Coturnix japonica: one gene and its partner. The protein of the gene in region 1 interacts with the protein of each later gene in a pairwise test. Links are inferred from orthologs where the notes say so. Each region holds a gene or a part of one and is shown on either strand. Other genes may lie near its edges.

Region 1 (3,746 bases):
GGCCTAATCCTGCCTGAGCAGCATCTGCAAACCTTTTATTTGGGCCGTGTCGCGCTGGCACTGGATGCTTGGAATCATTTTTTTTTTCCCCTGCCTTGCCTGCATGCAGATGGCCTGGCTCTATGCCTCACACTGGACATAGTGCTGAGAGCCATCAGCATCCAGCTACTGCAATGGGGGGGAACACCACGGTCCCGTCCCTGTCACCATGTAGGATGCAGAGCTCTGCTGGAAGGGCCTGGTGGGCTCCTGGCTCTCAGCTTGTGCTGTGAGGGGTGGTTCATGGAGAGCGCTGCTGGCCTGGCACATTTCATAGGGCGAGCTTAGGTTGGATATTAGGAAGAACTTCTTTACAGAAAGGGTAGTTAAGTACTGGAATGGGGTCCCCAGGGAGGTGGCTGAATCGCCATCCCTGGTTGTGTTTAAGAGCCGTTTGGATGTGGTACTCAGGGATATGATTTGGTGTAGGGTTTTTAGAGTTAGGGTTCTGGTTAGGCTGCGGTTGGACTTGATGATCTTCAAGGTCTTTTCCAACCTGGGTAATTCTATGGTTCTATGGTTCATAGAGGCACAGAATGGTTTGGGCTGGAAGGGACCTCAAAGCCCACCCAGCCCCAACCCCCAGCTGTGAACAGGGCTGCCCCCCAGCTCAGGCTGCTCAGGGCCCACCAAGCAGGCGTGGAGCACCTCCAGCGATGGGGCAGCACAGCTCTGTAAGCTGTGCCAGGGGCTCAGCCCCTCACAGTCAGGAATTTCTTCCTTATATCTCACTTAAATCTCTTCTTTTTTAATCTAAAGCCACTCCCCATTGTCCTGTCGCTATTCGGCCATGGAAAAGGTCCGTCCCTCTCCGGTTTATAAGCTCCCTCGAAGTACTGGAAGGCTTCAATGAGCTCCCTCCCTGGCCGGCTGCCTGAGTGGAGCTGCTCCGTACCGCGGTACCTCCATGCCGCATGGCGGCGAGGCTCCGCGCTCCTCTCGCTACTCTATGGCCCGCGATGGGAGCCGTCCGCGCCTGCGCTCCGCCCTGTCTCTGCTGTGTATCCGGCCCCCATGGCGGTGGCGGTGCTGCGGCCTCTGGACGCGCCGCCGGCGGATCCGGTGCCGGTGTCGGCGCTGTTGCTGGCTCCGCCGTCGCTGTGCGCGGCTGTGCGGGGCCGTGGCGGGGGGCTGGTGCTGGCGGTGCGGCCGGCGGGGCGCGTGGGGGCTCAGGCCGTGCTGCTGAGCGCCGTGGCGCTGGAGGCGGCCGGGCGGAGGGGCACCGAGCTGTGGCTGCGCGGGGCGGTGCTGCGCCGCCTGGGGCTGCCCGCGGGCCGCAGGGTGGCCGTGTGGCCGGTGCGCCGCCCGCCGCCGCTGCTCTGGGTGCTGCTGGGGGCGGCGGGCCGGGCCGGGCGGCCGGCGGGCGGCGCGGTGCTGGCGCGGCGCGGAGAGGCCTTGCCGGGGCCGGGCCCGGGGCCGGGCCCTGTGGTGCTGGAGGCGCGGCCGGCGCTGCAGGGCTTGCTGGGCAGCGGCACTCGCGTCGCGCTCGCCGCCCCGCCGCCGCGTGAAGCCGAGGCCGGGCCCGTTGCCGCTGCCGGAGCCGCCGCCCCCTGCCGCCGCCCCGCAGCCCCGCCGCTCGTGTCTCGCTTCGCCGCCGGCCGCGGGCGGGACGAGGGGCCGCGGCTGCGAGCGGCGCCCCCGAGCGGCGGGGCGGGAGGCGGAGGGGCCGAGGTGTGGGTCAGCCGGCGCGGGCTGATGGCGATGGGGCTGTTCCAGGGCGAGTGGGTGCGGGTGAGCGCAGAGGGGTCGGCACGGCATCACCTGGCCGCGCTGCTGGCCCGGCCCCCTGCGTGGGAATACCCGCCTGCATGGGAATACCCGCGGAACGCACGACGCCGGACACCGGACGGCGCCGCCCTGCTGGCTCCAGCACTCGCCTTCAACCTGGGCTGCGAGCCGGGCGGCGGGACGCACGTCTGTCTGCGGGTGAGAACCGGGGAGAGCGGGGGGTCAGCGGGCGCGGGGCGGAAGGATGACGGCGTGTCTCGTCACCCCGCAGAGGTACGACGGTGTGCCCGGGGCTGCCGAAGGGAAGGGAAGCCGGTCGTTGCTGCCCGTGCCGCCCTTTGCCGCAGAGCTGCACGTCGAGATGGTCTGCTCACCGGCCTACTGCACACGAGCCACGTACGACCACCTGCTCTACCGGCACTTCCAGACACCCCGGTGAGACACAGCTGGAGGCTTTGTAATGTCCGCTCACATCATTGTGGGTGGTGCGGTGTGGGGACAGGAGCTGCATGCGGTGATGGTCGTGGGGCCCTTCCAGCTCGGGATATTCCTGATGCCATGGTGAATCTCCCCTTAAGCTCACACAGGCCTCACTTCCACATGTCACTGTCCATCGCACTTCTCCCTCTGGTTGCACCTGCTTTCATCCCACGCATCCTCAGTCCCTCTGTATTCCCAGTGTCAGAATACAGAAAGGACTGGATTGGTGTTAACTGCTGTATTCAATTCTGTAGAAACATGTGGTATGCAGTGGATACTGAAGAAGAATTTATCATTTCTCACTTCTGAAGCTGTTTTTGTTGTTGTTTGTAGCCTGGTCCAGGAGGGAGATGTTCTCTGTATCCCAACATTCGGATGTGCTGAGTTTTTAGATGGAAATGCAGACAAATTCCTTAGGTAAGTGGCAGTAAACTGGTTCTATTATACAGGTACAAAATAGAAAAGGTGCTTTTCTCCTCCTTGAAACAAGACGATGGGTTCTGCTCTCTTCTGTCCTTGGAGTCCATAGAGTCACAGAGTGGCCTGAGTTGGAAGGGACCTTAAAGATAGTCCAGTTTCAACCCCCTGCCATGGAAAGGGTTGCTGGCTGAGAGCTTATATACCAGTTTTTTTACAGAGAGGGGGAAACATTGTTGGGTTGGGGATGGTTGCAGCTTCCCTTTGCTTACGTAGGCAAGAGCTGAGAGAGCGGGAGCAAAGGGGAGGAAGGGGTGGATGTAGGACAACCACTACTGCATAAGGAAGGGAAAGTGGAACTGTTTGTGCTGGATTTACGTGTTGAACATTATTCAGCTCCATTATATATTTTAAAACTTAGAAATATAACCCTATGATGAATATTTTTCAGTGATTTTTTGGAGGGAGGCAGAACCACAGGAGGCACAAGCCTTCCATTTGTGCGCTTAAGGTGTTCCTGCCTTCAAGATGTTGACTCAACAGTTCAGACTTCTTGTTTTTCCTTTAGGTGGCCGGAGCTTTACTTCAAAGTGAGGAAGGTATTAGGCACGGTGGAAGGCTTGCAGTCCGAGGGTTACCTGGCAGACACCCAAAACACCTCTCTGTACCTGGTAAGATGTCAGAGAGCAGGGTGCTTTTCCGCAAGATCTGAGCCTAATTTATCCTGTATTGCTCAATACAGGATAAATGTGCCTGTGGAGGCTTGCATCTCTTGCTCTTGAGAAATGGCTTTTCAGGACAGGCTGTCAGTTGGTCATTGTCTTTTCTCAACAGATGTTTTACAAAGTGCTGATTTTCCTCATAGGTGGGTTCAACAAACAGCGCCGTCCCATCTGCCCCAGCCTATACCAGCCACGAGTTCTGGAGCAGTTTGTCTCCTGCTGGACTTTCCGATGTTGTGAAGGAGATCTGTGATGCTCTTAGGCCTCATCTGACCAGTCAGTGAGTTAAAATTCTTTCTAGCAAACCTCAGGAGATCTGGAACCTTGGGTCTCAGGTTCTTCAGGATGTGCAAGACACAC
Region 2 (3,697 bases), on another chromosome or scaffold:
GTAACAGATTCGTCGTACGATTGTTTCCTTCACATATCGAACTGTTTCCTTCACAGAGGATGCCAGAACAAAAAGCAGAACATTTGCTGTTACATCTGGAGATACCAGTGTGAAGTTTGCATGCACGTGGCAAGCACAAATATCCTCTCTGAACAAGCCTTAAGTGGTAGGATTCCAATGGAATTAACACAACTGCATCTTTTCCCTCCACGATACATTAACAATGCAAAGAAAAACAAAGATCAAGACAAGTACCAGGTAGTTTATTCTCAGTAGTTCTGATCTTGGCCATCCCAAAGGATATAGAAACACTTAAATATATATATATATATTTAAATAAATATATATTTTAATATATTTTAAATAAATATATATATATATATATTGCATCTTTCACAGAAAATAATTATTACTTTCTGAACTCCTATGAAAATGCAGACATGTAAATCTCTACTTAATTAGCAAGTCTGCTACCTGATTCCAATATACTTGTACAACGAGGACACATATGAAACATTTCCAGAACCTATTTCAAGGCTCTACAGCATGAATATATTAAATGCTAAAGCTCTGATACACTTAATCACAGCACAAATAAGCAACTCTACAAAGAGGTAAATGAGTAGTCATTTTATTTTATTGTAAAAATTAAATATTGCAGGTTTAGCATTCATTGCAAAAAAAGAAAGATCGGTTGTTTCTGCTTTCATCCCTCTCATGGAAAGCTAAACACAGTTCAAATCCAGTATCAGTAGTACTCAAAAGAAGTGGAGGTTGCCAACGTACCAATAAAAACAAGTTGAATGTTGGAGTTCTGGTAAATGAATGGCTGTGATATTTAATGGAGCTCTACACATAACATATGGTCTGCCCTCTGAACCCATTCCCCATAATGCAGCTCTGCCATTTAACTGGAAGAGTTAACAGAAACTGAGATTTAAAAAGTGGCTGTTAGCTGAACGGTCACATATTGCTTAGAATTTAGTCTGACTTCAAAAGGAAATTTATTGTTTCATGAACTACTGGTTTACCAAGTCTTTAGAGCAAGGTCTTGCAACTAGGTGGCCAGTAGATGCAATCCAGTCACTTTCTGCAAGAACTCAATTCCAGCCAGACCCTCTGTGTTGGATTCTACCTGGTTTTCCACCAAGCACTGGCTGCAGGGAAGTGTGGCTACACTGATAGTTAGATGACATATATCATCTAGCAGTATCAAGAACTGCTCCTCCCCGTATACACGGTATATGATAAATATATATTTTTAATTGGGTGAAGCATTGTGTGCTACTTGTTCAGTTGTTAAGTCCAACTGAGACAAAAATTCCAGGGGAGAGAGGATAGGAATGTCTTGTAGTTTTACTTTTTTGTTTACCTGAGATAACTAGGCAAGGTGATGACAGCTTCCTGCATTCATAGGTGCTCCACTTTATCTCACACGAACACCAGGGTACTTCTCTATCAGGATAACTCAAGAACAATATAGACAAAGCATGACTTTTAGCAGTAAAGACACAGACTTTTCCACATAGCCTGGTAGGCTGCAAAGTGACAGAGCACACCAACAGGCTGCTGTCCTTGTAAAGAAAACTGAAACAGCCACTACATGTGCAGAACCATTGCTAGGAACAAATGATTGATTTGAAGGAGGATACCACAGTAAGATGCTGCAGTGGGACCTATATTGGCTACCCTACACAGGCTTGGTGTGTTGGATAGAAACTGCCCAACCAAAAAGGAGACTTTGTTTCTCTAAGGTGGATGTTGGTCAGCCTGAATCATCTTGGCACAGATGCAGGAATAGCTGGCTACATTTGCCACATGGCTCTAACTTGTTTTCTCCAGCACACATGCAGCGTGTTAGAAGCAATCCTGAAATAGTGCTCTCTCCCTTGGCACTCACTCACTGCTAATCAGTGGGAATTAATTGTTCTCCTGCAGACCTCCAATCTCTGCCCCAGGTGATCAGAAACAGCATCAACTGTAAGACCTTCTGTAAAGACAGTAACTTTCTTGCCACAGCTGTGGGGATCTCAGAGTTTCGACCAAACAATTGTCTGCTCTGAATGACAGAGCATTGCTGAATGGTTACCATGTAAATTAGGACTTTATGGGCATAGGAGGAAGGTTTCTAGACATACTAGGACTTGCTGACATCTTCATAAACAAAGCGAGAGGTGGGGAAAGAGTAAAACAATGCAACAAGCTCAGTGGTTCAACTAGACAACAATGTGGAACATAATTTAAAAAAATAAATTTCATTACCACTGGCACAGGCTCCTACAGATTACCATGCACCAGGCAAGCACAAGGTACTATAATCTGCATTTAAGATCTGTAGGTGCAGCACAATAGTACTTGTAGCACACCACCTCGGCTTTCTGCCATAGATACAATTAAAATCAAGAGCGCCTGTATGAGGAGGCATCAGTCACAAGAGAAACCACGGTGTTCAAAACACAACATGCTTCATTTCCTGCAGTGTTTTTCTTCCATGTGCTTGTCCTCAGCCCCATGCTAGAAGAACTGGGATCTGAGATGTCATCAGGCTCAAAAGAATATTCCCCCTAATTACACTGTTGCTTTTAACATTCCTGATTCCAGGAATGCTGTTTCAGCTGTTCAGGGAACTGCATCATATGTGCAAGAATGGAACCATCTTCCAAACAGGCATCATACTTCATAACTGTCTACACAACTCTCACTCAAGAGCCACAACCAAAGTAAAGTGTTTCAAAAGGAGGATCTTAATTAGTTGTAGATTACAGAAGGAGTGGATTTACTCTGGTGTTGGACAGAACGGCACCAAATAGCCAAAGTAATGTCAGGAATACTTGGCATGGCTTCAAAATTCATACACCACCACTCCCTGTCTGAAGGAAGGAGAGGACCACTTCACAGGAGATCACAGGTGGTCATCTGCACTAGGACACTGATTTCAACGGTCCTTGAAGAACTTCATAAAGTCCTCAAGACAAGCTGACATAGGAGCAGAGGCAGAAGACATTTAGTCTTGAATTGGAGGCCTGTGGATTGGAGACAACACAGCTGCCCAAGCCTGTCGGAAGAGCTGCACCAGTTTGCAAATGAACGGCAGGGATGTAGGAGAAGCTGCAGAGCAAAACAAAGAGCAAGATAGTTCTACCCTTTGAAACAGACCAAACATATTAAGAAAGGACTAATTCAACTACAGCTAATGGAAACCTAGGTGTCTTATTTCCTTCTGTTCAGTTCAGTACTTAGGCCCTCACCCTGCTGCCTACACACCCTCGCTGCTCCCTTACCTAGCAAGGTCTTTTCAGTATTTTCCAACACATTATTTGCAGCACAGCTATGGAGCACCTGCCACCCAGCAGAAGGGGCATCTCCAGGTACGAAAAACATGCAATCCCTCCACAGCCCAGTAGCCTCTGTGTCACGCAACCAGCCCATTCTTCAGAGGTCAGGCAGTGGAACAAGCTGCCCAGGGAGGTGGTTGAGTCAGCATCCCTGCAGGTGTTCAAGAAACATGTAGACACTGTACTAGGGGACATGGTTTAGTGGGAAAATACTGGTGGTAGGTAGATGGTTGGATGGATGATCTTGGAGGCCTTTTCCAACCTCAATGATTCTATGCCAGCTTCAGCCATCACTTGTAAGGCCTCAGTATAAGAAAATCAGAAGCATGACCATGATGCTGCCCCTGAGCAACTCTGCTTCC

What was found. The genes of interacting proteins can lie anywhere in the genome.
Region 2: the proteins of PEX6 (region 1) and PEX26 come close enough for resonance energy transfer, tested with the Homo sapiens proteins (2 studies listed by BioGRID). The link is inferred for Coturnix japonica from reciprocal best matches to the Homo sapiens genes PEX6 and PEX26.

What each region holds. Positions count from the first base shown.
Region 1 is NC_029518.1:13,974,492-13,978,237, reverse strand, and holds the start of PEX6 (peroxisome biogenesis factor 6), read left to right. Parts: upstream 1-1,038; 5' UTR 1,039-1,053; coding exon 1,054-1,965; intron 1,966-2,038; coding exon 2,039-2,202; intron 2,203-2,580; coding exon 2,581-2,664; intron 2,665-3,232; coding exon 3,233-3,335; intron 3,336-3,529; coding exon 3,530-3,666; intron 3,667-3,746. UniProt on the Homo sapiens protein: Component of the PEX1-PEX6 AAA ATPase complex, a protein dislocase complex that mediates the ATP-dependent extraction of the PEX5 receptor from peroxisomal membranes, an essential step for PEX5 recycling.
Region 2 is NC_029516.1:50,688,489-50,692,185, forward strand, and holds the end of PEX26 (peroxisome assembly protein 26), read right to left. Parts: intron 3,109-3,697; coding exon 3,005-3,108; 3' UTR 616-3,004; downstream 1-615. UniProt on the Homo sapiens protein: Peroxisomal docking factor that anchors PEX1 and PEX6 to peroxisome membranes. PEX26 is therefore required for the formation of the PEX1-PEX6 AAA ATPase complex, a complex that mediates the extraction of the PEX5 receptor from peroxisomal membrane.